Linked DNA regions of Mus musculus. The protein of the gene in region 4 interacts with the protein of the main gene of each other region in a pairwise test. Links are inferred from orthologs where the notes say so. Each region holds a gene or a part of one and is shown on either strand. Other genes may lie near its edges.

What was found.
Region 1: the proteins of Cep70 (region 4) and Sytl5 interact in binary tests that used the Homo sapiens proteins (3 or more experiments, as listed by UniProt). The two-hybrid records come from large-scale screens. The link is inferred for Mus musculus from reciprocal best matches to the Homo sapiens genes CEP70 and SYTL5.
Region 2: the proteins of Cep70 (region 4) and Suv39h2 interact in a two-hybrid assay, tested with the Homo sapiens proteins (2 studies listed by BioGRID and IntAct). The link is inferred for Mus musculus from reciprocal best matches to the Homo sapiens genes CEP70 and SUV39H2.
Region 3: the proteins of Cep70 (region 4) and Ddx6 interact in a two-hybrid assay, tested with the Homo sapiens proteins (2 studies listed by BioGRID and IntAct). The two-hybrid records come from large-scale screens. The link is inferred for Mus musculus from reciprocal best matches to the Homo sapiens genes CEP70 and DDX6.
Region 5: the proteins of Cep70 (region 4) and Nol12 interact in binary tests that used the Homo sapiens proteins (3 or more experiments, as listed by UniProt). The two-hybrid records come from large-scale screens. The link is inferred for Mus musculus from reciprocal best matches to the Homo sapiens genes CEP70 and NOL12.
Region 6: the proteins of Cep70 (region 4) and Zcchc10 interact in binary tests that used the Homo sapiens proteins (3 or more experiments, as listed by UniProt). The two-hybrid records come from large-scale screens. The link is inferred for Mus musculus from reciprocal best matches to the Homo sapiens genes CEP70 and ZCCHC10.
Region 7: the proteins of Cep70 (region 4) and Nkapd1 interact in binary tests that used the Homo sapiens proteins (3 or more experiments, as listed by UniProt). The two-hybrid records come from large-scale screens. The link is inferred for Mus musculus from reciprocal best matches to the Homo sapiens genes CEP70 and NKAPD1.

What each region holds. Positions count from the first base shown.
Region 1 is NC_000086.7:9,958,517-9,962,459, forward strand, and holds part of Sytl5 (synaptotagmin-like protein 5), read left to right. Parts: intron 1-1,497; coding exon 1,498-1,676; intron 1,677-3,216; coding exon 3,217-3,316; intron 3,317-3,943. UniProt on the Homo sapiens protein: May act as Rab effector protein and play a role in vesicle trafficking. Binds phospholipids.
Region 2 is NC_000068.7:3,472,187-3,476,587, reverse strand, and holds the start of Suv39h2 (histone-lysine N-methyltransferase SUV39H2), read left to right. Parts: upstream 1-1,601; 5' UTR 1,602-1,641; coding exon 1,642-1,885; intron 1,886-2,376; exon of another isoform or gene 2,377-2,556; coding exon of another isoform or gene 2,557-2,568; intron 2,569-3,940; coding exon 3,941-4,086; intron 4,087-4,401. UniProt on the Homo sapiens protein: Histone methyltransferase that specifically trimethylates 'Lys-9' of histone H3 using monomethylated H3 'Lys-9' as substrate.
Region 3 is NC_000075.6:44,628,734-44,632,676, forward strand, and holds part of Ddx6 (probable ATP-dependent RNA helicase DDX6), read left to right. Parts: coding exon 1-36; intron 37-1,290; coding exon 1,291-1,407; intron 1,408-2,649; coding exon 2,650-2,713; intron 2,714-3,943.
Region 4 is NC_000075.6:99,295,079-99,298,303, reverse strand, and holds part of Cep70 (centrosomal protein of 70 kDa), read right to left. Parts: intron 2,292-3,225; exon of another isoform or gene 2,278-2,291; coding exon 2,131-2,277; intron 2,029-2,130; coding exon 1,860-2,028; intron 726-1,859; coding exon 611-725; exon of another isoform or gene 1-610.
Region 5 is NC_000081.6:78,933,413-78,938,072, forward strand, and holds the start of Nol12 (nucleolar protein 12), read left to right. Parts: upstream 1-1,520; 5' UTR 1,521-1,577; coding exon 1,578-1,663; intron 1,664-1,743; exon of another isoform or gene 1,744-2,227; coding exon of another isoform or gene 2,228-2,282; intron 2,283-2,396; coding exon of another isoform or gene 2,397-2,487; intron 2,488-3,066; coding exon 3,067-3,172; intron 3,173-3,721; coding exon 3,722-3,770; intron 3,771-4,395; coding exon 4,396-4,538; intron 4,539-4,660. UniProt on the Homo sapiens protein: Multifunctional RNA binding protein that plays a role in RNA metabolism and DNA maintenance. Participates in the resolution of DNA stress and the maintenance of genome integrity by localizing to sites of DNA insults.
Region 6 is NC_000077.6:53,323,368-53,327,890, reverse strand, and holds the start of Zcchc10 (zinc finger CCHC domain-containing protein 10), read right to left. Parts: upstream 3,203-4,523; 5' UTR 3,191-3,202; coding exon 3,150-3,190; intron 623-3,149; coding exon 464-622; intron 1-463.
Region 7 is NC_000075.6:50,614,566-50,619,069, reverse strand, and holds the start of Nkapd1 (uncharacterized protein NKAPD1), read left to right. Parts: upstream 1-1,605; 5' UTR 1,606-1,842; exon of another isoform or gene 1,843-2,412; intron 2,413-3,510; 5' UTR 3,511-3,518; coding exon 3,519-3,587; intron 3,588-4,504. Other genes in the region: Pih1d2 (PIH1 domain-containing protein 2), read right to left, coding at 421-624, 1,041-1,061.

The DNA.
Region 1 (3,943 bases), on a different chromosome or scaffold from region 4:
CTCTTCTGTGTAGTGTCTGATGGATGCTGTGTTTCCCTTTCAAATCTTCAATGATATACACATGAATTTACAATGGTACCCTGGGATATAAGCACACATAATTTGGGTCCTTAAGTTTTAGATATCTGTCAAAATATTAAAATGTCAGACTATTCCAGACTTAATCTTCATTTAAAAATGATCCTCAGGTAATTTATTATGTAATTAAAGCTTAAAATTCATGTTGCATTATTTTAAGAATAGGAAAAACAAATTCAGTTACTTATTGGCTTTCTAAGAAATAGCTTGTATGCAATTTTAGAGTTCTTGGATTATTGTTACCTTTGACTTCAGCTTAAAAGAGATTATGAGCTAAGCCAGATAGACCCTGTTCCTTGAAGAAATACATCATATTTAAAATACAAAGTCCTTCATAAAACAATAACAATAAAATCCATTCATAGACAGGTAGACAGACATATAGTAAGATAAATAGATAGAAAGATACATAGATATGTTCATATATCCACACATGATTTATAAATTCATATATCCAGATATGATATATGACAGATAGATGTTCCATATATAGCTTTCATGCCTACATACCTATCTTTTAAAACAAATCCCAAATCTCAGCTATTTGTACTGCTATGGTCCTTGCTTCTCTGTGGTGAAAAAGAAGTTATGAAACTACTGCACCATTCACAAATGTTACTGGTCTTTTGTGTCCATCATGTTACTACGATAGTCTTTGTTTCTAGCACTGAATAATAATGCTGTATTGACTTAAAATATGCATCTCAGGTTACAAATATCTTGACAAAAATCTTTACTCATCCTTATAGAATTTTTTATGTTTTTGGTTGAGGCACTTTAATTTTTTGGTGCTATATTTTGCTCATTACTATTCCATGGAATATCAAAGCTATAAGTCATGGACTATCTATGTAGCCACACAGCTACAAAGTTAGCCTTGTGAGTATTGAATGTCCTGCCATACCTTTATTAAGGCTGCAGCTGTGGTTCCTCCAGGAGTGACAACATTCACCATTTGAGTGTAGAGAAACACACTTTTATGTTAACTCATAATAATGAGTGAACTCTTCTTTTTCCTGATCATTAAATTCTAGATGTTTAAACACATTGCACTCAAGTCTAGCAGCAAAAGGCAGATAGTGACAGGGATAAAGAAACAAGATTATATTAGAAATCACTAAATGACTCCATACTCACTACAAGACATAAAAGATTTCAGCTAACCCAAAGGAGATGCTTCCTCTTTCAGCAAACGTCCTGCCTCCTTTCCTAATGGATCTACATGGGGTATTCTTCTCGGGTTAGAATTGTATGTACCAGAAGCAAAACAAGCAAAGCTAGTGACTTGCTTTCTTCTCTGGCTTTGGACTCCCCTGCTAGTTACATAGAACAGCAATGAGAATTGATTAATGGGGGTGGATTCTGTGACTAGAGCTTTAGAATAGCACTGAGCCATGTCTACCATCTTTTTTTTCCCAGACTAGCCTTAACAGCATGATGAGTGTTTACAGTGAAACGGGAGACTATGGCAACGTGAAAGTCACCGGTGAGATCCTTCTCCACATCAGCTACTGCTACAAAACCGGCGGGCTATACATTTTTGTCAAGAGCTGCAGAAACCTGGCCACAGGAGATGAAAAGAAACAGAGGACAGATGCGTAAGCACGGAGGATGCCCCTCTACTGTCTCCACAACTGCCTTCTCTGTCTGCATGCACACTTCCTTGTCAGCAGAGGTTAAAGATTCCTTCAATTAAGAGCTCGTCTGAAGTCTAAAGATAGTGTTTGTATCTTTGGTTACTTGATTTGAAAGAAGCCATGATGGAACAACATTATGAGCTAACCAGTACCCCGGAGCTCTTGACTCTAGCTGCATATATATCAAAAGATGGCCTAGTCGGCCATCACTGGAAAGAGAGGCCCATTGGACTTGCAAACTTTATATGCCCCAGTACAGGGGAATACCAGGGCCAAAAAGGGGGAGTGGGTGGGCAGGGGAGTGGGGGTGGGTGGATATGGGGGACTTTTGGTATAGCATTGGAAATGTAAATGAGTTAAATACCTAATAAAAAATGGAAAAAAAAAAAAAAGAAAGAAAGAAGCCATGACATGATTCAGGAGTAACAAACTTGTAGCTTGCACAGAGGCCACTCGTGGTGAAGGCAAGCTGATTGTTTAAAAATGTTGCATAATTTAATTACATTCTTTCCCCTCTTAAAATTCCCAGATCACCCCTATGAACTTCATGTTCTTATTCTCTCTCAGAAAAAAGATAGTGTCGCACGCACACACACACACACACAAACACACACAAACACAAACAAAAAACATGGAGTTGGTCTACTACTCCTGAGCATGAGGCCTCCATTGGAATATATTTGGTTATACCCAGTGTCACTGCATCAAAGAAAGCCATTTTCTCTCTCCCTGAATCTATCAATTACGAATAGCTTCTCAGTTAGTGGTGTGACTACTTTGTTCACCTCCTAGTGTCTAGATTTTAAATGGCTCAGTGACAAATATTTGTCCAGCATGGAAAGGAACCATCTGAAATTCTAACACATGTGCCTTAGAACTCTGGTAAAATATGTTTCAATCTTGTGCATGTCTCTGTCTACTCTGATGTCCCTGTCCCAAGAGGCTTCTAAAAGAGCTAGCTAGCACAAGCCAAGGTACTGGGTTGAACTGTAAATTTGTCATTTTTCCCTTTCTTCCTTTTAATTGTTTCCTGTCATTCACTCACCCCGGTAGTCTATGCCCTGACATTAGAAGATAGAACTGGCAACGAAGAGACATATATCCCCTAGAAAAGGTTGTGAGACTATCGATGCTAGCAGCTTCCACTTATGGAGGAGGACAATACTACAGCTCCTCTTGTGTTTTGTGGGTTAAGTATTGTTACCATGCCACTTTTTACACTTGACAAAACAAATACACAGCAGTGTAAAAACCAAAGACTATCAAAAGGAATGATGCCTGGGTGGTCCCACAAAGCCTGTTCTCAAACAATATTCATCACTGTTCCTTCCTTATAGAAAGCTCAGCATTATATTTATGATATTCGATTGTACAAACTAAAGTCTCTTCATTTCCATCTCTTTTCTCCACTAACCCATTCCCTTTTCTAACTGAAATCCTGGGATATTTCTAGCAGAGTATATTTGCAAAAATGATGATTTTTATCTTTTGTTATTTACAGTTATGTCAAGTCATACCTTCTTCCAGACAAGTCCCGAAACAACAAGCGTAAGACCAAAATCAGAACGGGTACCAATCCAGAATTCAACGAAACATTAAAGGTAAATAAATGCTAACATAGGAACATGTTAAGTAGAACTTCATTGATTTAGAATTAACTACACTCAAGAAGGTTGGGACAGGAATATTGTTAAGAGTTCAAGGCTAGCCTGAGATAGCATAGTAACATCCAAGCAAGGCTGGCCTATAAAATGAGACCATCCCAGACTGAGACCATCCCTTATATCAAAATACAAACAAGCCAAAAAGAAAAGAACAACTAAATGTACCATTTCAAAACGCATGCGTGTGTGTGTGTGTGTGTATGTGTGTGTGTGTGTGTGTGTGTGTGTGTGTGTGTGTGAGGGTTTTAGAAAACTAGAATTTGAATGGTATTAGATTTCCTAGAAGTTTTTGAAAAAGAAAAGGTAAACTATTCCCGCTTGGTTCACCCTCTGCTGTGGCTGTGGTCATACCTTAAGTTGAAATGATCCATTAAAATTACAAATTACATCTAAGCAGTATATCTTATAACAAAATAAGTTGCACATTTAAGAAATCTGCTTTCCTGGTGTCTTGAAGGGACACTGTCACTTTGTGTGTATTCATTGCACTGCTAACAAGGGTTATGTACTGTTCCTGACAAGGATCTCTGAGTGTGGCTAAATAGAAGTGTGTGGTCAATGAAC
Region 2 (4,401 bases), on a different chromosome or scaffold from region 4:
GGAAGACTGGGGTTCTGTGTTCATGGGTTTCCTGAGAGGCTTCGGGCCTACTCTTCTACACTCTGAGAATAGAGAGTAGACACTGAGGAAGGTTGGAGTGGCTGGCTCTACTCTATGCCCTAGAATTAAGAAAAACAAGGGAGCCAGGCAGTGGTGGCACATACCTTTAATCCCAGCACTCGGAAGGCAGAGGCAGGTGGATTTCTGAGTTCGAGGCCAGCCCTGGTCTACAAAGTGAGTTCCAGGACAGCCAGGGCTACACAGAGAAACCCTGTCTAAAAAACAAACAAAAAAACACAGAGCCTTGGATCTATCAGACAACTGCTATTCCACCAAGCTATCCTCTGCTTCCAGCATCCTTTGCCAATTTTTAAAATAAAACTTAGCAAGACCAAAAATATTTGTAAGACTCTACCCTGACCGTTTTTTGACAAAAGCTTTTAAAGAAGAGCTAGAGAACAAAGCCAGACAGAATGCCTGAGTGGCCTCTGAAGAAGTAACATTTGAGTTAAATCTAGTCACGTGAGAGGGAGCAGCACATGAAGGGGAGTCAGTCAGTTCTTTGATCTAGACCGTGATTTCCAGTTTAAAGTGTTTATTGGGGGAGAAGGGAGCTTTGGCTAGCACCTGTAATTCCAGCTCACCAAAGTGGAAGCAAAAGGGTCAGGACTTGAACATGCTTCTCAGACAAAGCAAGTCTGAGGCTTGTTTCATTTTCTGTTTTAAAGTCTCCTTAGCTGGGTGGGAAGTGGCTGGAAGGGGAGCAATGGAGAGGTCAAGGCAGCTAGGCTGTTTTGGCTGAAGAGAAGACAGGCAGTATGTGCTTGTGAATAGCATTGACATGACTGGCTTACAGAATTGCCGATGGTCTTTTGTGTATAATGGTTCCTCTTACAAGTTTTCAGATTTACAGTGGTAAAACCGAGAACGACCTGACTCTCCCCAAGCATATATGGCTAAAACCTGCCCTCAGCTTAAGTCTGTTAATGTTAGTAAGTCCTTGTCCTAAGTGTACCTTTTACGTTTGCCTTAACTAAGAGGGTTCTTGGCGGGGTTGGTTGGATTCTCACAATTGTCAGGCTTTTCCTTTGAGTCCAGCTGCTACATGGCCACATCAACTCATCAGAATCTCTTTGAGTGGTTTAAACAGACAGCACCTCTCCAGGTGAACCCAACATGCAGTCAAATTTTAAGATCCTGAGTCCTGGTGGTGTGGAGTGAAAGGAAAAGTAGTGGGGCTTCGTTGGGTTGAAGTGCTGAGGAACAAGAGTGGGAAAGGAGCTACCTGCGCACACTAACCCCGCACAGCCTATTTTGCGTTTTGTGGCGGGCACGTCAGGTCTTTGTGAAGCGACTCAGGGGACCGCATGAAGAATCATGGCAAGCGACCTCCGAAGTCAAAGCGAGTAACAAGCCAGCGACGGGCAGGGCCAGTTTCCACGGAAGGCCCCGCCCCTTCCCGCCCCCACCGTGCGGCGCAGGCGCGGTAGCTACCACCGCAGGGGTCGGTCTCCGCTGACGTCAGAACGCCTCGCTCCTCTCAGCCTCCCCGCTCCGGAGTCCCTGGCGGGCCGGGGCGGGGCGTGTGGCCAGCTGAGTTCTTCGGGCTGACCGCGCCAGTTTGAATGAAAGCTCCGCAAGATGGCGGCGGCCAGGGCCAAGGCACGGGGCAGTGAGGCAGGAGCGCGGTGTCACCGGGCTCCAGGTCCGCCCCCGAGGCCCAAGGCCAGGCGAACGGCGAGACGCCGCCGCGCGGAGACCCTGACGGCGCGACGCTCGCGGCCGTCTGCGGGCGAGAGGCGCGCCGGCTCCCAGCGAGCGTGGTCCGGAGCTCCGCGGGCCGCGGTCTTTGGCGACGAGTGTGCACGAGGTGCCTTATTCAAGGGTGAGCAGGAAAGCACACGCGCTGCGGCGGTAGCGGTCGCCACCTCCGAGCCGGGGGTTGGGGGTGGTGGCGGGGCTGAGGTGCGGTGCTGGAGAAAGGGAATCCCCTGGTGCCTGCGTTCGAGCGGGTCTGGCCTCGCCGTGAAGCGCCTGCACACGCAGCCCTGAGCTCCGGGAAACTTTGGGGGGCCCGGCTGGAACTTGCAGGTTATTTCTGTGGATGCTGAAGCCGGGGCACGCAGTGCGCGTGCGTGCGCTCGAGTCGCGCGCCCTTTGAAAGTCTGGGTTGTGCAAAGCCTTCTGGAATGAAAAGGTTGTTCTCCAGCTCTTTCCTCCGCTCCACCCAGATGGTGACACTATTATTCCCGTAGGTAGCTCTTGCCTCCTTGAAGCGTGGTGGGGATGGGATGGTGGAATGGTTTTTATAAACGGGATGTTATAATCTAGACAATGAGGCGTTTTCCTCTCATCATTTTTGGCTGTGGGATTTTGTAAACCAAGTGTTGGCAATTTTTCTTTTTAACATTTCGAGATGCCCCCAAAATGTAGCATTTCTGTTGCGAGGGGCGGTGCATTGTAATTACACGTAACGCTTCGTTATGACGTTTTCATACGAATATATGTACGTTGATCCTCCGATTCAACACCACCCTCCATTATAGTGTTGTGTTTTCAGATTCTCAGCTAGGGGTAAAAATTGAAAAGATAAATAAAACAGCAAACAACTTGGTTACATAAACAAGAGGACTCTCCTTTGCAGATGATTAGCATAAGGAGATTAGCATTAAGACAAAACAGCCTTAAGATTTTTAGAAGCGATTTATGAGACGTTTTTTACAGCTTTCTTGTCTCCAAACCGCCACACCTAAGCAAATAAATGTATTCTGGCAAATTTGAAGGAAAGTCTTTTTGCAGGTGCCAGAAATATGAGTTGTTTGCAGTCACTGGAGTTCGGAAGCTATCCTCACTGGTTTCTGACAATGAAGTCCTTACTGGGAAGGATGAGGAAGGACTGCGGGGAAAATTTGAGCGGTTACGCTGTCCCTTCCTGGAAACTTACCTTAAAAAGGTTTTTGCCCACCACTTCGGAGAACTAAAGACAGCTTGATGAGTTAGAGATACATTTTCTTTGGTCACCTCTGTTCTCAACAAAACACACTTTTTTCCAGTGAATCCCATACACAAAAAGATTGGGACTTTCCCAAAGTTGTGTAGCTAGGTGACCCACCAACGGGTAGAGCAGAGGACTTTTGATCATCTTGTATTTATCCTGATAGTAGGGGTAGTGAAGTTTGTTACATTTTTCTAGACATCAGTTGTGTGATTATATTTTTAAATCCAGGATGTAATACAGTTCATTTCTGGCCTCCGTACGGGTATTGTTTAGTATGTCTGATTTTCAAGTCTGGCTTATGGAATATTTCCACCTTGTATTCTGTTTTGTAACTGCTGGCTTGAAAACTGTAGGAAACAAGTATTACAAAGCTCACTATGCTCTCCACTTAAAGTAGAATTCTCTGGCTTATGCATGATGAAAATACATTTTACCATGCACAAAATAAATGAAGCTAAAATCTCTCGACTTTTTACAAAATGGAAAAAGTAGGATATGGATTTCATATTTAAATTCTTATCATCTGACTAAAAGAAGTGAAGTTACTTTTAAGTTGTGGCCATTTTAGAATATCTTTTAGATATATTTCTAACAAAATGTCTTAGCTGTTTATTAGGAGAACAGTTTTATTCTGTGTAAAAAAATTTACTTCATTTTACCTTCGCATTTATATGTAACCCTAAGAAATTTTAGATGTGAAATATTTTAATTAGCCAAGCAAGAATTAGGCAATGTGGGTAAAAGTGGGATAGATGTCCACTGGAAAGTAAACCAATTTACCAAAACTAGTTCTTTATCCTATAACTTTTTCTTAAACACACATATGTAGCTTCTTGTTATATGTGTTTCTAGACTATAACATTGTCAGTTGAGAGGGTTTTAAGTTTTTGTTTCAGCCTAGTAGCTATTTTATTGGTAAAGAATTCTATTTTCTTATTGTAGCCTGGTGTGTGCCTTGCCTAGTTTCACTTGATACTCTCCAGGAATTATGTAGAAAAGAAAAGCTCACATGTAAATCGATTGGAATCACCAAAAGGAATCTAAACAATTATGAGGTGGAGTACTTGTGTGACTACAAGGTAGCAAAGGTAAGGCAATGTCCAGCCCCTTGGCAGAGACCTGTCCACACTGCAGTGTTTCATGTTTCTCTAACATAAAAAGAGCCTCAATATAAGTGAAGCTCTTCTTGTTTAACGTTGTAAGATATAGAGTTACTCGGTCAACACTGAGGGGATTCTGAACCGTCAAATGCTTTTGCATTAGAATATTTAGGGTGTTTATATCCTGCATCCAACTCTTGACTGTTTGCATATGGATTCCCAGAGCAAATTTGTTAGGCCTGATTGGTTTGTCCTGCAATTCGTGTTGTTCCTGAATCCTATTTCCTATCACTGGCAGGAACC
Region 3 (3,943 bases), about 55 Mb from region 4:
CAAAAAGTGCACTGCCTCAATACACTTTTCTCCAGGGTAAGTAGTGGGCTTTTGTGCTGAGTCCTGTCCTTCACTAATTCCTAGCAAGTTGGACAATTAGATCATTTTCCCTTTCCTTTCCTTTCCTTTCCTTTCCTTTCCTTTCCTTTCCTTTCCTTTCCTTTCCTTTCCTTTCCTTTCCTTTCCATTCCTCTTCTCTTTTTTTCTTTCTTTCTTTCTCTTTCTTTCTTTCTTTCTTTCTTTCTCTTTCTCTCTCTCTCTCTCTTTCTCTCTTTTTAATTTTATTTTTGACTTTATTTTCACTGTAAAAAATCTTACTGTTTTGTAAAAAGTAGCTTTAATTGGCTTACAGTTGAAACTGATTGACACAGGTGCTTTATATTGTTAAATAATTTACTGTAATTACAGTTCATCCTTTGTGAATACTAATTGCTAAAATTTATTTGTGACCCCCAAATTAGTACTGAAGGTTTTGGTTATTCTTAGACATATACATTGTGGACTTAAAAAAAAAAATGATCCCAGCTAAGGTCCAAGAAGAGGACAGACATTCTGTCTTCTTGTTTTACTTATAAATGCTACAATTGTTTTTCAAATTTTGGTGCTGTTCATCATTCATTCCAAAATGACGGCCTCGCTGCTGCCGACGTGCTTACCTGTGTTCTGAAGCACAGGGGGACTGATGTGTACTACACAGGGAAAACATGTACTGGGTAAACCTCCTGCAGGCACGGGTTATATTGGTTAGGACTATAGACATACTAAATAAGACATGCTCAAAGAAAACACATAAATTGGCATGTTTACCAATTTATAAAATGTCACCAGAGGCTCACAAGTACTTGTCATTTTCTCTAGAAACAGTGTTGTTTTAACTTGTTTGTTTTCTTTATTTTAATGAGTCTGTGTCTGTGTGGGGTTGTACGCATATGAGTGCAGTTTCTGGAAGCATCCAGAAAAGGGTGTTAGAGCGCCCGAAGGAGAGTTACAGGTAGTTGGGGCCCACACTGTGTGAACTGAACTGAACTTGGGTCTTGTTGAATAACAGTGTGTGCTATTCACTGCAGAGCCATCTCTGTAGCCTCAAAGCAGTGGTTCTTATTTGCTGAGTCAGTGTTAGCAGCGGTGTATTGTAGGACATTACTGTGTTGTCTCTGCAAGTTAGGTGGCCCTTATGAGATAATCTTCTCTAGGTCGACAAATTTTCATCTGAAAGCTTGGCTAGATATTTTCATGATTGGATAAACAGATGCTTCTGTCTTTCTCATCTTTCTCATCTTCTGTGCTTAGCTTCAGATAAACCAGTCCATCATTTTCTGCAACTCCTCCCAGAGAGTCGAGCTACTCGCCAAGAAGATTTCTCAGCTGGGCTACTCTTGCTTTTATATCCATGCTAAAATGAGGCAGGTAAGGATAATTTCGAGAACTTGCATAGATTTAATAAAGAAATATTTTCCTAAGTATTTCTTATATTTTCTTTTGTTATAATGTTGTATAAATGCCTTGTGTGTGAGAGTAAACTGTTGTCTTAAGGTAGGTACTGCTGTATTAGTGGTAGAGCAGTGTTCCAGAAAAAGAACAAATGAACGGACTATTTAGTAGACAAAGAGACCTTCACTTAAACCAATAGGTTTAAAAAGCAGTCCAGAAATGTCAGATCTTGGGGCTGGAGAGATGGCTCAGTGGTTAAGAGCACTGACTGTTCTTCAGAAGGTCCTGAGTTCAAATCCCAGCAACCACATGGTGGCTCACAACCATCTGTAGTGAGATCTGACGCCCTCTTCTGGTGTGTCTAAAGACAGCTACGGTGTACTTAGACATTATTATTAATAATAATAGTAATAATAATAATAAATCTTTAAAAAAAAGAAATGTCAGATTGTCCATGAAGTCCTAGCATTTAAAGTAAGTGAAAAGCTCAGAGTCATTATCTGTTCCATACTAAGTTTGAAATCAGCCTGAGTGACATGAAATCCTGTGGGGAGGGAAGGGCACAGGAGACATTCTTTTGGGGGGAATTTCTAAATTTGTTCTGTTTAGTGCAATAACTTTATTACATAGCTCCATGTACCCATTAGACTAGGTAAAAGCAAATACAATTGAAAGGTTTGTTACTTAGTCAAATCCCTGAGGCTGGTGACTCCATTATTGGAGAATACCAGTGCAATTTTTTTTTTTTTTTTTTTTTTTTTTTTTTTTTACAGAATGCACTGCTCTAGATTTTAATATACAGTAACTCCTCCTTACAAAGGAGAGTTCTGAGATCCCATATCGGATACCTAAAATCATAGACAGTACCAGATTGTATGTGCATGCTTGCTATGATGCAGTTTATACATTGGATATGGTAAAACGTTCACTAGGATAATAAAATAGAATAAATATGACACTATATTTGTCATAAATGTTACGTGACTATGATCGCAGCATGGCTTATTATGCCTGTCCTTTTTGATAGAATGCTTGTATGATGGAATGAAGTGTATCATACAGACATTGAGTGATACAGCTCTAGACTGCTACAGAAGCATAGGTAGTTGTGTAAACAAATTTGGGGTTGAAGAACTGATTGGGTAAGAGAAACCATGATGAAAATTTTGAGTTGTCTATAAATTTTACTCAGTTTTTATATATCCCCCTACCCTCCAGGAACATCGAAATCGTGTCTTTCATGATTTCCGAAATGGCTTATGCCGCAATCTTGTTTGCACTGGTAAGTGTTTTTGTATTTCTTGGACCTACTGTTTTCTTAATTGGCTGGTTGGTTTTTTTGTTGTTGTTGTTGTTGGTTTTTTTGTCACATAGTGAAACCTATGTGACAGCTCCTTACACCCTGCTGCCACTTTGACAGCTTCTGAAGACAGGGGTGCCTGCTGTTTAGTTCCTAGGTTGAGAGCAGGTGCTATTCAGTGCCTGACCTTGGGTTCCTCCTAGTGCTCATGCTGCACACGTGGCTCTAAATTAGGTTTTGCATTTATGTGCTTTCTGAACAGTTCTAACATACAAGGTGAGCAAACACAAAATAAACTTTACTCGAAATTACATTTTAGAAGTTGTGTCTATTTGATTTTTTTTTTTCCCAGAATCACATTATTCTATACCGTAAGCCAAGATTTTCTAATTTTTGGTTGTTCTATTACTACAGAAAAATAAGCCTGGGTAGGGAGGGGGAGACACAAATTTAGCTCAGAAACTAATAGAATGGTGCCTTCGCACCTATGTACTTAGAATTTAATCTTACTATTAGTGTGAGAAGAAGAATCATTTGAGGAAGTAGAAGGACTTGGAGTTTGAACTATAATGTATATATTGGTAAATTGCTCATCTTTATTTTTCATGTGAATTTTCACATACGCATGTACCTATACATTCAGATAAAATTGTATTTAAGAAGTTTTGGTTGGCTGGTTGGTTTTGTTTGTTTTTGAGACAGGATACTACTATATAGCTCTTACTGGCCTGGAAATTGGATATGTAGAGCAGACTGGTCTTAAGCTCACTTCTTTTGTTAGCTGGCCTTGGCCGCTTAAGTGCTGAGATTAGAGGTGTGCAGCACCACACCTGACACAATTATATACATAATATATATATACATTAAAAGATTTATTTTAATTTGTGTCTGTGTCTATTCTGTGTCTACCACGCTTGCACAACAGGTGCCTGCGGAGGCCAGAAGAGGGCATTGTATCCCCTGGAACTGGAGTTCTCAGGCAGTTGTGAGCCTGTTGATATGGGTGCTGGAGATGAACGCACATCTTCTGGAAAGAGCAGCAAGTGCTCATGTCCAAGGAGCCATCTCTTTAGCCACCTATTTTAAAATATAGTCAGGATTTTTGGGAAAATGCACATAAACAAAACACTTGTTACTGCTACCAGATATTAAATTTGGTTATTCCTAGTAATCAGGAAGTAACTGTAAAAATAACTTTATGGAGGCAGTCAT
Region 4 (3,225 bases):
ATATATAGATGATACATGTGTGTGTGTTTATATATACATATATGTCTTATATGTTTATATATATGCATATATGTATATGCATATACATATATGCATATACATATATGCATATATATAAACACAATACATACACACACATACACACACAAACACATTCTCATAATGTACTTTTTAAAACATCAGGTTTTTACATTGGTGGTACATAGTCTTTTAAAAATCCTTAATATTTATCTTCTAAACAAAAAAATATGACTAGTAATTATTAGTTTTGGTAGTGTCCTAGAAATAAATTATATGTTATAATCCAACTCAAGAATTGGTTATAAAGATTTTAATTTCTCCATATACAACTTTCCCCAAGGGTGAGTTCTGCTAAACTTCCCAACATCCCTTTGTGAGCTTACAGCCCCAACAGTTTTTATCTTGAGTACATGTGACACATCTTTGGTGGCAGCACTCTGGAGGCAGAGGCAGGCAGCTCTTTTTTGGTTCAGGGCCACCCTGATCTACACAGAGTTCAAGGACCCCTGGGCCCTGTCACTGCCAACACGGACAGTCAGGGGCTGGGAGAGCTTGGAGCTTTTACTCTAGATGCATTTCTAACAAATACCTTTGTAGATCCTCAGGTCCTAACACTTGTTTAACCTGCTCACTCACATCCTTGTTAATTATCTCACACAGTTTACCAACTGTGCTGACCACCACACACAATGATGATGAACTGTCTGCAAAAGAGAAAAGAAAGCATAAGATATTTTTAAAGAATTTCCAAAATCATTACACTCACCCTGGTTCAGTTGTACTCACTTTATTTTTGTGGCAGAGGGATTAAGATTTCTATTAGTTTGCCCTCTACCACCCTTTGCCATTTCTTTAAGGCACACTATCTCCTTGAGCCTGGAGTCCACATTTTCTTGGCTAGGCTCAATAATAGTGTTTCCATTCTCCACAGAGCGAGGTAACAGACACTTGTGAGCTATCCAGCTTGGGATGCTACTTTTGGTACTCAGGACTGCAGAGAGTGTGTTCTTACCCGCTGAGCCATCTCCCAGCCCAGGGAGGGTTTGTTTTAAGCAGCGTCTCATGATTCCTAGGCTGGCCTACCAGTTATGTATCAAAAAATGATCCTGAACTGAACTTTAATAAAAGGATTTATTTGCAAGTGTGTATGAGTGTGCACATGTATACATGTGCGCACAAATGTGTTTGCACACATGGAAACCAGAAAAGAGTGCTGGAGTCCTTGGAGCTGGAGTTATGGAGATTTAGCATGTCTGCACTGTTATATGGGTGCTGGGACATGAACTCCAGTCCTTACAAGTTCCCAGCAAGGCCTCATAACCAGTGAGGCAGCTCTTACAGCCCGTGACCTTGAACTTCTAATCCTCCTGCCTCCATCTCCTGAGGATGTTCATCACCTTGGATTCTATATGTGCACCACCACACCCTGTTTATTCAGTACTGAGAATCAAACCTAGAGTTCATGCATGCTAGGCAAGCATCTTCCAACTAAGCTACATCCCTCCCGCTGGTTTTGTTTTTTGGTGTTGTGTATGTCTTTGTGTGTAATTAATAGGAGTTCTGGTGGTACCCACAAGCAATCTGAGTACTTGGAAGGTGAAAGACAAAGACCAGGAGTTGAAGGCCAGCTTTGGCTACAGTGAGAACAAGGCAACATTGTCACCAAACCAAACCCAACAAACCCAACCCAACCCCAACCCCAATCCCCCCAAAACAACCAAATCCCAGGATAACCCTAAACCCTAAACAACCCCAAACCCAAACCAAGCCCCAAACTTCTTTTTAATTTATTCAGAATAATTCTAGAATCGATTCCCCAAATGACAAAGGGTCATCACCTAATTCTAAGAGCTCCTGAAGGTTCCTTACAGCGTTGTTCATTTCTCCAAGCCTGGTGTACACTTCATTCATCCGGGGAAAGACTCCATTTAAAGACTGCACATCAAATAGCTTTTGGAAGTGAGAAACGATAGCTTGCAAAGTTTGAGAGTTCGGCGTGCTGCTGGTCTATAGAAAGAAGGCGAAAGGGTAGTTTACAATTTGAAATAATATTAAATAGTTGACATAAGCCTTTAAAATGAGAACAATTATATAAGTATCAAACGTTACCTCTTTCTGGTTTTCAACTTCTTCCAACATGGTATCCACCATAAACAACAGATCTCCGACTTTGACACCTTCCTTTTCATCCAGTTTCTTTAAGCTATGCCAAGGCACCAGTTCTGCAGACAGTATTTTCAAGGACTTATACAAATCCTTAACAAAAGAAACTACATGGCATTACTGGTTATAGAATAGTTTATATAGTAACACTAATAGCACAGTAATCATGGGGGCCTAAAAACACATAGCTATATAATAACCACCATTAGTATTTTTTTAATACCATTGCCAATTTAAAACAAGTCTGGATGTTCTAAGTAATAATGTTATTTAAGTAGTTATATTGTTTTTTAAAATTATTTTATCAGTGTTGGAGATAGCCCAGGCTTTCCATCACATATACACAGCAAATATTTTACCATGGAGCCATATTTCTAGTCTACATTTTAAATATTTTTGTAGCAATTTTGGAATGAGATTTACATACCAAAATATTAACCTTTACTAAGTACACAGTTTGATGGTTTTCATCTTTTCACAGTGGTACAAAACAGATCACTGTATAAGCTCAGAACTCATCTGTCTTCTCAGAAGAACTCCCACACCCAGAGCTGGAGACATACTTAGCCGTCAGAGCACTTGTCTTACAAGAAGAGCCAGGTTCAGTTCCTGACACCCACATGATGCTTCGCAGCCATTCATCCCTAGTTCCAGAGGATCTAAAGCCCTCTTCTGACCTTCTCAAGAACCAGGCTATCATATGGTGCACAAGCATACATACACCAAGGCAAAAATGTCCATACATATAAGAAATTTAAAGAATAAAGATTAAAAAAGAAATTCCCCCACCCACTCACAGTCCTTTCCACTCTCCTCCAGCCTCTGTAACTACTAATCCTCTCCGGATGCTATGAATTTGCCTATTCCTGGCATTTTGTATAAATGAAATAATAAAAGTGGCCATGTATGACTGACTGACTTTTGAGAATCCTCTGCATTTATTATTGATTACAATTTAAATTAGTACAGGCATTATATGAAACAGTATAAAGAGCTTCCTCCAAAAACTAAAAATAAAGCTACCACATAGCCTAACAATCC
Region 5 (4,660 bases), on a different chromosome or scaffold from region 4:
TGGGAGGAATCAGACATTCATGGAGTGCCACACCTACGTGGAAGTGAGGCTCATTATCACAGCCTGCTTCCCACCTCTCTGAGCAGACATATTAGCTTCTGAGGGAGTGGCCAGGAAGCTGGGAAGGGAGACCAAACACCAAAGCTCAGACAATCTAGCTCACATTTGATCACTGGCACAATCCCTGCTCTCCCCCCACCCCGTTTGGCTTTGGTTTTTTGAGACAGGATTTCTCTGTGTAGCCCTGGCTGTCGTGGAACTTACTCTGTAGACCAGGCTGGCCTCGAACTCAGAGATTTCCCTCTGCACCAACTGAGTCTGGGAGAATATTGTGTTATGCACTTCTGACCCGACACACTTGTCCCACCACAGTCACGGCTCTCAGTTTGCTGCACGCAGGAGCAATATTCAGGGTCACCAGAGAATGTTCTAGAAATGGACATTCTGGGGCCCTGCCAAGTGTGTTGAACCCTGAACCCTCAATTTGGATTTCAGCAAGCCTTTAAGTGCATGCCAGAGTTCCAGGGCCACCTCTTTACAGCCTTACAAAGTCACTACAATGATCTCTATTTTATAAATAGGAAAGTGAGACACAAAGAAAAAGGCAATTTGGGGGCTGGAGAGATGACTCCAATGGTTAACAGTGCCTACTTGTCTTATAGAGGACCAAGGTTTGATTCTCAGTACCCACATGACTCACACACCATCTGTAACTCTAAGATTTATTTATTTATTATATGTAAGTCACTGTAGCTGTCTTCAGACACACCAGAAGAGGGAGTCAGATCTCATTAGGGATGGTTGTAAGCCACCATGTGGTTGCTGGGATTTGAACTCAGGACCTTCGGAAGCAGTCGGGTGCTCTTACCTGCTGAGCCATCTCACCAGCCCCCATCTGTAACTCTAGTTGCAGGGGATTTCATACCGTCTTCTGGCCTTGTAGGTCCTCATACAGTAGACCTAAACTCACTTAGGCACAGTATTTTTTTAATCTTACTTATTTATTTATAGACAGGGTCTCTTTATTGTCTAGCTCTGCTCTGGTTGTCCTGGAACTCACTGTGTAGCTTAGGCTGACTTTGATCCACCTGCCTCTGCCTCTCAGGTACTGGGATAAAGATGTATGCCACCTCCCCTAGCCCATAATTTATGATTTAATCTTTTTTTTTTAAAGGGGGGCAATTGCTTTTGAGTCACATACTTTGTAAAGGAATACCAGTGTTTGCATCTAGGCAGTTTCCCTCGCTCAAGGAAATCATGAAAGAGTTGACATCTGAATTCAATTAAGTTCAGTAATTCTTAGCGGTTTATAAATAACTCCAGATTGAGCGCTTGTTCGAGGCAGGTCAGATGATGGAATCGGGGAGCCTAGTTCTCACCGAAGCCATTCTGGGAGGATTGTTCAGAAGACCTGAACCAAAGCTGAGGCAGGACGGGAGGCTCCTTTAAAAGGTGGAGCCAAATCTGCGGAACTGTGGAACAAGGCCACGAAGAGCGCCCTACCGGAAATCTGAAACTGCTACACCCGGAAGTGTTTTAAAGTCAGAAGCGGCCACGCTGCCGGAAGCTTCACTGCAATGGGCCGCAACAAGAAGAAGAAGAAAAGAGATGGAGACGACCGGCGGCCCCGGCTCGTTCTCAACTTTGATGAAGAGAAGCGGCGGTGAGTGGCAGGGTGGAAAGAGACTCCCGTCGGGCTGCCGGGGGAAGCGCGCCAGGCACAGGGCGCGCACGCCCACGCGGAGGGTTCTTCCGGCCCCGCCCCTGGATGTAGCTGGAGCTCGCCTTCCTCTTTCCCCACCTCGGGGGATGGAGTCGCCCGCTCCTCCCTCGCTGTTTACGGCTCTCAGCGCTGCGCCTTGGACCACCGGAGTGCCGCGCCGTCTATTGTCACAGCCCATAGCTGGCTCCCAGTCGTTGTTGACGAAGGACGAGCCGATGGGATGAGAGAGGTTTAGTTCATTGATTCACGCACCAGACTGCGTGCCAGCCAAGCCTGAGACCAGAGGCTGAACTGCTTTTTAGTGTCACCGTAAATAGCACCTTGTGGTCTGATGGCTCTCAACCTGTGGGTCGCGACCCCCTTAAACCCATCGGAAAAGAGATAATATTTACATTACGATCCATAACAGTAGCAAAATACAGTTAAAACCCCTGGTGTAGTGTACCAACGGAAACCGTAATTGCAAAGCCTGGTAGTGCAGACCTATAATCCTAGCCATCCCGGATGCTGAGGCAGGAGGATTGCAAAGTAAAACCCTGTGCGGGAAAGTTCAAGAACGGTATGGGCATTTGGACAATTTGTCCCTGTCTCCAAGACAATATAAACGAATTAATTTATTAGACCATTTGCCTAGCTCGAATAAGGTACTAAGCGTAATTAACTTCCAATACAGCAAACTCAGGAACAGCAGAGATTAGACAGGAAGAAGGAAGCACGAGTCAGGAAGGTGGGGGCACTCCTAGGACCCGCCACACAGGACCCAGGTGGGTTCAGGAGTCAGGTGGCCTTGAGGACTGGTTGTTGGTTGGTTCAGTGAAAGAGTTTTGGGGTCTGGGTGAAGGCATTATTAGAAAGCCTTACTAGAAGTGACTCCTATGAAATAAAGTTTGCCAGTGTGGGAACAGTGACCACCAGCTCTGTGTATTGACCACCTGGCCTTTTGTGTACTTAGCAAGGGGCAGGAAGGCCAGGTGAGCTAGGTGACGTTTGGTTAGTGATGGAGCGCGTACTGAGACTATAGCTTCCAGCATAGGTGTGTGGTAGGTTATACCACCCAGGATTATTATGTAAGTACACTCTGATGGTCCAGCAAGGACTCACAACTCATTTCTCGAAGGTACCTTTGTCATTGAATGACTTGTGACTGCATTGTCTGTGACCTTGGATGAGTATCCTAGTCTCTTCCTCAGAGTCCCCATCTATAAATTAAGGGTTGGCTGTGAGAGGGTAAAATGGGTTGGTGGGTAGGAGAGAGTCAGGCAACTTATGGAGCTCTGTAGAGCCCTGCTTTCCTCCTGGCTCCTCCTGACTCCCCTGGCTTCTCCCCTTCTTCCTTCTTGCAGGGAGTACCTGACAGGCTTCCACAAGCGGAAGGTAGAGCGCAAGAAGGCAGCCATTGAAGAGATAAAGCAGCGGCTTAAGCAAGAGCAGAAGAAACTTCGGGAAGAGGTGTGGTTGAGGGTGGGGTAGGGTTTCACCTCCCAGGGGAGGGCCAGCCTTGGCTAGGTCTGCTAGAGGCAGCTATGGGACCGCAGTGTGAGTGTGACGGGAGCAGCGTATAGAGACGCTGGGGATCCGCGTGTGAGGGATGAGTCTCCTCTAGAATTTGCTCCGTGAACCATGCTCTCATACGATGGGAGTACACAGGGCTGTCCCATGTGTGGACCGAAAGGCCATTCTCGCTGTGTTTATTTCCGTTTTAGTGGCTTTTTCTGTGACTGTGGTAAAATACTCTTGAAAAAAAGGCAGCATAAGGGAGGAAAGGTTTACTCTGAGTTCAAGCACCCAGTTCATCCTGGCAGGAGAGTCAGGGTGGCAGGAGCTTGAAGCAGCTGGTTCTTCACTGAATGGCACCACCCATAGTGAGCAGGTCTTCCCATCTCAGTAAACAAAATCACGATAATAACGCATAGTATGCTCAGAGGCCCATCTCCCAGGCCATCTTAGATTTGGTCAGGTTAACAGTTAACACCTTCACCTCTTCCCTTTGGGCTTCAGCGCCACCAGGAGTACCTGAAGATGCTGGCAGAAAGAGAGGAAGCACTGGGTAAGTCTCTATCTAGGCTTCACGTGGTGAGCACCCAGTGAGCCTGGGCTTCTGTGTCCCCTAAGTGGGAATATGTGAGGGTGGGAGAGTGAGTTTCTTAGCTGTGGAGATTTTGGTGGTGGTGTGGGGGCAAGGGTGGTCTAAGTACAAGCGGATCAGAGAGCTGGACACCCAATCCATATGGTAAACTGAGACTGAGCAGAGAGCCAGGGATGGGACAGCTCATGCCCTCGCGCAGTTTCTCCAAAGCAGGGACAAGCAGGAGCACAAAGGGATGAGAGGTTCATCTCCCATGGTTACCCGTGGGCGGGGCTCTGGGCCACTCTGTAGATTAGGGAAGAAAGGGAGAGGCAGGGAGATACAAGGAGAGCCGGACTGGCTCTGGAGAAGCTCGCCACGTGCCAGTCCCCTACCCTCCAGGGCTAGGAGGGAGGCTAGACTGAGCCAGGCCTGAGGACCGCTCACTGTGTGCCAGTCCCATCCCGCCAGGGCTAGGAGGGAGGATGGAGCCTGGACTGAAACAGGCCTGAGGACCGCTCGCCGTGTGCTAGTCCCCGGCCCACCAGGGCCAGGAAAGAGGCTGGACTAAGCCAGGCCTGACGACTGCTTTGTGCCCACCTTGCAGAGGAGGCAGATGAGCTGGAGCGGCTAGTGACAGCGAAGACAGAGTCGGTGCAGTATGACCACCCCAATCACACAGTCACTGTGACCACCATCAGTGACCTGGACCTCTCAGGGGCCCGGCTGCTAGGTCTGCCCCTGCCTGAGGTAGGTCCCAGGACAGACCTGGGGAAGCAAGGTTTGGGGGTAGGTGGGTTTGTGAGGGCTGCTCAGTGCTGGTTCATCTCAAGGGTCTCATATGGGAAGTGTGCTCCAGGCAGCTTTCGTAC
Region 6 (4,523 bases), on a different chromosome or scaffold from region 4:
AGGACCTTTGGGTGGGACTAAGGGCCTCTCCAGATTTTGAATTTATAAGGTGTAGGGGAGGAAGTCAAAAAAAGAAAACCAAGAAACAAGTTCTTACAGATTCCTTTTTGGAAAAAGCATGCATTAATTCAGTGATCTATTATTTTTTAAAATTTGTGTGTGTGTACATGCTCACATACATATAGGTACATATATGTGAGCATACAAAGAGGTTAATAATAGCTACCTTATTAGTAGAGGTTTGAGGTTTAAATATGCTAAGACTTATAAAGAGGACACATAGGGCCTGGACACAGAGTGGCCACTCATTAAAAACCAGCCGATAGCATTGTAAGCTGGATGCGGCGGTACACACCTGTAATCCCAGCACTCAGGAGACTGAGACAGGAAGACAGCAAACTTGAGGTCAGCTGATTCTGTAAATATTTTTATAAGTTCCCCTGGATATTACATGTAAACCTACCTTTGCAGCAATAATCTATTTTCTTTTTCTTTTAAAGCTTTCTTCAGCTCTGCCGTTCTCGAAGGTCTGTGTAGGTACTTTCTTTTCCCTTTGCATTCATAAGTCCAATGTCCAAATTCCAAGCATTTCTGACATCTTACATGTTGCTTATTGGCTTCACTACAAAGAAAATAACAGAATACAAGCCTTAAGTTTTGTCTTGGGACACTTTCTGACCTGGAAGAGCATTAAAGTATCACGTGATGTTGACTCTAGCAAGCACACAAACGGTGTTCAAAGCGTGCAACCTGGGGCGCAACAGGAACTGAGTCTTGCTCTTCTAAGCCCAGTCCGGTATTTCATGCTTATAGTCTTTCACTTTGCAGGCCAATGTGGGAGGATGGCTCTGAGTTTAAAGTTAGCCTGAGCTACAGAGCAAGAGACCCTGTCTCAACAAAGCAAAATAATAAAAACAAAAATTTTGGGCTGGTGAGATGGCTCAGTGGGTTAGAGCACCTGACTGCTCTTCCGAAGGTCCAGAGTTCAAATCCCAGCAACCACATGGTGGCTCACAACCATCCGTAACGAGATCTGACTCCCTCTTCTGGAGTGTCTGAAGACAGCTACAATGTACTTACATATAATAAAGAAATAAATCTTTAAAAAAAATTTTTTTAAGTTTTTCCATTCCAATAATCATGTATTCGGACCAACATTTTTAGCTCAGAAGACAAAGGATAATGAAGGTCCTTATTTGTTGTAATGCTAGATATCAAACTCAGAGCCTCCTTCACAAATGCTCTACTACTGAGCCAGACCCCCTAACCCATTAAAACACTTTTAAGGCTGGGAAAAGGGTGGGTGGATAAGGTGTTTGCTGTAAGCCCAAAGATCTGACCCCCAACGACTTGTCCTCTGACCTCTACTCCTATTCACACATAAATGAAAAAGCTTGTTCATTTGGTTGGTTGATTCTGCTTTTGATTTTTTTCCCTGGAACTCCATCTATAGACCATACTGGCCTCAAACTCATAGATCTACCTCTGCCTCCCAAGTGCTGGCATGTGCCACTGTGCCTGGCTATCATTCTTTTTAACTTACTAATAAAAAATGGTGGTGGTGAGACAGCTCAGTGGGTTAAAGACACTTGCCACACAATACTAGGATTAAAAGTGTGAGCCACCATACCCAGCTTGGCCTAGCCTTGAACTCACAGACCCACTTGCTTCTGCCTCCTGAGTGCTTAGATCAAAAGCACAATCCACCAACGTCAGGCCCAACACTCGGGTTTTAAACTCATAAACCACAGCTTAGGTCAAAAGCAAAGTGCGAAGCAATGCAGGTATTAGATGTATAAACTGTTTCCTTTCAGGTTCGTATTATGACTTTTGATAGGTCTGAGAAATACAACATGACATGCATGTCACACAGCCATGCAGAGTGGGTATGACATTACTGGAGGGTTTTAAGATGAAGTCTTATTATGTTGCCCAGGCTGGACTCAAATTCATGTTCAAGTAACTGGTCTCCGCCCCTTACATCGCTTACACCACTGAATGGGTAGTTATTGAGTTGGTTGGTTTTTTTTCTTTTCGGAGACAGGGTCTCCCTACACAGCTGAGGCTGGCCTGCAGTTTGCTCTTTAGATCAGGCTGGCTTTGACTCAGTGCTACTCCACCTGATTTTGCTTCTCCAGTGCTTGGATTAAAGGCATCTGCCACCAGGACTGATAGTTACTGAGATTCAAACTGGGCATGGTGGCACAAGCTTTTAATCCCAGCATACTGAAGGCAGTCAGATATCTTGAGTTCGAGGTCAGCCTGGTCTACAGAGTGAGTTCCAGGACAGCCAGGGCTACACAGACAAATCCTGTCTCTAAATCTGCCCAACCCACCCCCAAATTCTAACAGACTCATAGCAAATATACCATTTCCTATCTTTCCCCAAATCCTCTGCTGACTCAGTCCTTTCTATGGCTTTTAGTCTGTTTTCAAATGTCACCCCTCACAGATGAATTTCTAGAACTGACTTGAACTGGGCCTTTTGCCTTTCCTCACCACAGCCTCTTATCCCCTTTAAAGCTTAACTTTGTTTTGTTTTTAGAGAGACAGGGTTTCTCTGTGTAGCCTTGGCTGTCCTGGAACTCACTCTGTAGACCAGGCTGGCCCCGAATTCTGAAATCTGCTTACCTCTGCCTCCTGAATGCTTGGATGTACCATCACCATCCGGCTCCTACAAAGCTATTTAAACCACTAGCTGTACTTGTTTAGAGTATCAACAGGTTCCACAATAAAACTGTTAAGCTGCGTAGCTTGAATACATTTTTCTTCAGAGAAACTGTCTGTGAGTGATTGTACTAAAATAATTATTTACAGTGAGAGCTGCAGAAAGTGAAACGGTCGATGGGGAATTAATAGGCATTGCAGACAGGCTTGTTTCTAGAAAGGGCGATAGGAAGGAGGCAGGTACGCTGAAGAGGGAAAAGTTTGGGATCTTGAGAGGGAAGATGTGGGATCAAGCATCCAGGCTACCCTTGACATGTGGACCGGACAGAGGAACACAGACCACCCAACGACCAATTCTTGGATTCATTTCGAACTCTCTTCAAATCCCGCTCAGTTCAGCAGCCTGCGCCCGCTCACTAGCTAGCGGACAGGCGTCTGCACGCCCCCAGCCCTCCTGCACACCCCACAAGCATCTCACTTACGCTTTCCTTCGAGCTATGAGCCGATGCATGGGAGTCGCCATCTTGGAGCGGCTGGAGTCTGCCGCACGGGTTTTTGGGAAACTAGCACCGGTGGGCGGGTCCTTAGAAACCTCTGCGGTCCTGGGCGGGGCCAGACGGGCTCAATTCAGAAGAGGCTAATGGTGGCCACTAGCTGGTTTGTCTTTTCTAATGTGGGCTTGTGTGTTCAGTATGAATAGGGTCTTGAAGGGTGATCTCAAACCAGGGGTCTGTAATACATATGCAGTGGAATTTTGTAGTATTCAAAAAATCCTAAAAAAAAAAAATCCTGTAATCCAGGATTTTGGAGGCTGAGGCAAGAGGATTGCTATGTTTTTGAGGCCAACCTGGGAAAACTTATGGCCCTAGCTCAAAACCAAACCAAACAAAACCAAAAAGGCCAGGAAGTAATGGCCCACATCTTTAATTCCAACACTTGATGGGATTCACGGCCAGCCTCATCTACACAGGGAGTTTCAGGAAAACCAAGGCTGCACACACAAACTGTCTCAAAAAACAAAACACCAAAAACCCCAAGAAATTACAGGTGTCGTCATGATGACTGGATCATTCTGATTTTGTTGTTGTTTGGTTGGTTTTTTGTTTTGTTTTGGTTTTTTTTTTTTTGTTTTTGATTTTTCTTTCAAAGATCTGCGTAGAGGATTTTTTGGTCTTTTTTTGAGACAGGGTTTCTCTGTGTTGCCCTGGCTGTCCCGGAACTCACTCTGTAGACCAGGCTGGCCTCGAACTTGTAAATCTGCCTGCCTCTGCCTCCCAAGTGCTGGGATTAAAGGCATGCGCCACCACTGCCCGGCTGTGTAGAGGAATTTTAATCCAGCAACATGGCTGCTCTGGAAAGGAATCAATCATAAGTGATGGGAGTACAGACATGAGTTCCAGGCCAGCATGGTACAGAGAAAGTTTCAGGTAAAGAAATTTAGTTCCAGGTGTGGTGGCACATTCCTTTAATCCCAGCACTCAGGAGACACAGGCATGCAGATCTCTGAATTCTACTCAGTTTGGTTGAGTCTTAAGAGAGGAGGAGGGGTAAGGGGAGTGGAGAGGGAGACAGGACCAGACAGAAACACCATGTGTTTGCTTGGGATTGAACTCAGGACCTCTGGAAGAGTAGTCAGTGCTCTTAACCTCTGAGCCATCTCTCCAGGCCCCTCTTTTTTTTTTTTTTTTTTTTTAATTGTTAAAGATAACATCTTTAATTTTTCAGGCTGGCCAGAAACTTAGCTCAGGCTAGTCTAATTCCCAAGTTATGACACAAGTTTCTAAAATCAGGATTCAGGATGTAGAGAAAGGAGGACAAGGAGGTTAAGGCCAACCTGGGCTATATAGCAAATATGA
Region 7 (4,504 bases), about 49 Mb from region 4:
TCTGGGCCAGTTTGATGGCTCAGTGGATCAGAGCACCTGGCTCCAGGCTGATGGCCTGAATTCTTTCCTCACCTCATCGAAGGCGAGAGCCTGCTCCCCAGTCATCCTCTGTCCTTGCACATGCACTCTCTTGAACCCACACACATATAAAATACATTTAAAAAACCTTAATTAATTATAGCACTATTTTCCACCTATCAGGACAATAAAGTTGCATTAGGGGATTTCTAAAATACCAAGTATGAATTTCTTATTTTTACTCCTTCAGTGAAATCTTCCATGTGGTTTCATTTTCTGTTCAGAGAGTTTTAGTAAACTTCTCTTGTGTTAAAGTAGCGCTAGAAAAGGCTACTGTATCCCCTGGCTAACCCAGAGTAGTTTTACTGAAGACCTCTCCTTCCTTGCATCAGTTCTACATACTAGGATCTTGGTCTGTATGCAGAGTTGAGGTTCTGGGTTGACACAGAGCTGTTTGCCATCTTTCAACTCCTGCTGAATGAAGTTCCGGTAGCGCTCGGGGTCATTTTCAGCCAAATCATCGAGCATATTCCAGAACTGGGAAATGTGGGTAAGAAGACCCTTTGAGGACACCGTCATGATGGTGATGAGACAGGCCTTTGGAACCTGCAGAGAGACAGGACTTGAGAAAAGGCATGTAAGGTATTTACTGCCCTGTTTCTTCTTTCAGGGAAGGAGGAAGGCTTTTGCAAGTGTGCTGCGGGTCTTAACTAAAAGATTGCACACCCATACTGCTTTATCTTGGCTTTCCTACAGTCTGTGAGTAGAACCACTTCCTAAATTCCTACGTTGTACCTGTACTTCCGTCTGGTCTTCATAAATACAGAGGGAACAGAAAGGACTTTTGTTCCAATAGTTGGATATTGGCTGACTTGGTGCCTTCCAGACCTGGAATTGTGAGGTAGGGGTGTGTGTGTGTGCGTGAAAGAAAGACGGGTAGAGAGACTGGGGTCGGGGGAGACAGATACATAGACAGACAGTATAGTAGTTAAAAGTAGGCGCACTGGAGCCAGTATGCTTACGTTCTTGCAAACTTCAGACATCTATGTTGCCTTGAGCAAGCAGTGTATATACTCAAAATAAAGATGAGGGGGCTGGAGAGATGGCTCAGCGGTTAGGAGCACTGACTGCTCTTTTAGAGGTCCTGAGTTCAAATCCCAGCAACCACATGGTAGCTCACAATTCTATAATGAGATCTGGCGCCTCTTCTGACATAGAGCTATATATGCAGAACACTGTATATAATAAATAAATGAATCTTTAAAAAAAAGATAAGGATTAAGAACACTAATATTTAAAGCTGGAACATTATGTGAGAGCAATAGTCAAAGATTCCGCCCTCCTTCAATCACCCTCCTTCTGCAAAAGAGAAAGTTCCCAATATTTTTAAAAAGAGGTTTAGAGTCTTCAAATTATATATTAAAGTTAGATTAAATCAACAACGAATACACACTTAATCCAAACGTGGGGGAAACGCGCACGTCTTCTCTCAGTTTGCCGACAAACTGCGACTCCGGTTACCATGGTAACCAGTCCCGGTACACCATCTAACTGGGTCCGGAGAGCGCAAAGTAGAGCTGTGTCTCTATATCCAGTTCCGGTTCTCTTCTCCGGGTCCGGACTGGCTCCTCCGCAGGCCGTCCCGCTTGTCTCTCGGGAGAGCGCCGCCTTCCTTCCTGCACCCGTCAGCTTCCACGGCGACCGGCGAGCCCGCTCTGTGGGAGTCTCCGGTGGGAGGGAAGCGTTTCTCCGGAGCACGACTTCCGGCCCGGAAGGAAGCCGCCACCTTTTCTCCCACCCCGCCACGCGAGGCTGCGGCGCACGGTATGGGTGTGTGTGTGTGTGTGTGTTTGTGTCGGGAGGGCGTTGCGAGGGAAGGCCGCCGAGAGCGCCGGGGCTGCGGCGGGGCAGGGAGCCCGCTGACAGACATGGGGGCGCTTTCCCCCACGTCCCCTTGGAAACCTCAAGCTCCCCCCGAGGCACTCTAGATACTTCCTGGGGCCCAACGGAAGGCCGTGCCCAAGCCCTGTGTCCCCATTCTGTCCCGGGAGTGAAAGCGAGCCGCCGGGCGCCGGCCCAGCCCAGCGAGAGCGGGGAATGCCCCGGTCCGCCCGCCCGCAGGCCGCTTTCCGCGCCTGCGCCTCCTCTGGCCTGGGTCCCCGAGAGCGAGCCGCCGGGCGGGCTCGGCTGGGGGAAGGCAGCCGTAGCCTGGGCCTCGGGTGAGGAGGGCACAGTAACCGGTGGGAAGGCTGCGTTTTCACGAAGGACTCGGGTGAAGCTGCAGAGCTGCCTTTCAGCCCTGACTCCTTGGCTTCCTGGGTCGGAGGAGATCTTGTAATGGAGTGGTTCTTCGTCTCACACTAACAGGATGCCTGATTTCCTCAGGATCGAGGGGTGAGTGAGCATCGGGACAGTGGCACCAAGCCCCTGCTAGCTACACATGTGAATATCGTTGTCTTCTGGGTTTTGGAAAGTTCCGTACAGTGTAGGAAACAAAATGTCCTGAGTAGAGATATTTAGGTCATCTAAAAACTTTTTTACAATTCAGTTTATTTTTTTACTGTTGACATACGTGGTGTTTGATGCCTTCAAATCTTCGTGTTTATATCTTTGCAAGCGAATTTTGGGGAGTTTTGAGATTTGATTTCTAGCCGGGACACTAACACACCCGTTGCCTGAGTCCATGCAGCCTGGGGGCAGGTTACGGCTTTAAGGAATTTGATTTTGAGGAGTTGGGGTAGAGTCCAAACTCGGGGATCCCCATAGGTTAAAAGGCCAACCGAAAATGTCTGGGGAATCATATTGTATCTGTATCGATCACGTACAGACCTTTCCCACTTTGGTCATTATTTTAATCTCCATCGTAACATTTACATAACATTTGCATAGTTTTAAGTATTATAATTAATCTAAATACCCTCACTCATCCTAACTGGAAGAGCATGTCTGTTGGCAGGTGGTGGCAGTAAGAAGATGAGTTAAGGGCTGGCCGAGGCCACTTAAGAACCTGACTAAAAAAACAGTCCTATTTTAAAATACACAGGAGCATAGTTTCTATACAAATATTATACTAGTCTAAAAGAGGAATGAGCGCCCTAGGATTGCTTTGTGTGTGCATGGATGTCACCGAGGGACTTTATCCAGGGTAGCTCTTAGGCTAGGCAAATGCTTTACCAGGCCATACTTGGATTTAGTACCTTTAGGGTCCTGGAACTGATCCGTCATGGATCTTGACTACTTGACAGAGAATCGTGAAGACTGAATAACATGGTGCTCATGGAAAACAAATTTTGAGCAGCTTTGTGCAATTTTAAAGACTAATGTACATCATCCCTTCATCCTTACATGCACCATAGTTGGGTATCATAATGGTGAAAGGAAAATTTTCCCTTCGATTTTCTAAGTTCAGTGATTTTTTTTTCTTTCTTCACTTCTTTGTTTCTTTATAATTTACTAAAAATAAATTTATTGCATATTATTGGTTCATTTCAGATTAAAGAATGTCCCGGGTTCCGTTGGGGAAAGTCCTCTTGAGGAATGTCATCCGGCACACAGATGCTCACAATAAGGTAGGCAGTACCGCCTAGTGACTGCCAGCATTTCCTGAGGGCACACAGTAAACCATGAATTATGTAGGGAGTTAACAAAGGTGCATAAGAAACAACCATAGTTTGAAAGTACTGTAACATGAAGATACTTACAAAATGCTTTAGTGTACCAAGGAAGGAATAAAGAAATCTGCCTTGGGAAAATTAGAATGATTTCACAGAGTGAATGGTCTTTGATATTTGAATTGGTACTTGATGTTGATGGATAAATGTTTACCAGGTGCATTGCTTGCTTTTGACTGAGAATCCTCTGTACAAATACAGAGCAACAGAGCAAGGGCTCGTGATGTACTTGAGTGATGATGTCTCCTGTATGCAAAGCCTCATTCCATCCTGCCCTCTATCAGTCATCACTTGGGGCAAGGCATTTTGCTTCTAGGAAGTCAGAGATAGGAACAGTGATAGAAGATAAGACGCAAGTGGCAAATTAGAGTTGTTTTCTTGACACTTAGGAGATAAACTTTCTCTTCTGAGCAATAAAGAAGACATCAGCTAGGAGTGGTGTCTTACATGTTTCATACCTGTAAGTGGTGTTTTACCCTTGAGGAGGTGAGGTGGTGTGACTGCCACATATGTCAGTTTAGACCGATGATTTGTCAGTGTGGTAGAAGATAGATGACGGAGAGGGGCACTGGGGAGGATGATGGGATGAGTGGTTTCGAGGAGCTTAGAGACAGAATCTAGGAGACTTTGTGAGGCAATGCTGTGATGAGAGTGGAGTCCAGCAGAACCGCCTTCTGTGACTGGAAAGGAAGTAATGAAGGGACAACAATGACAAAGGACAAACACGGGGACATAAAAAGATCAGGAATCCTTTGTCCCGTTTTCTTCAGCACACTACTCCTGGCTTGGTTGTTCTTATCACTGTCAGCATCATA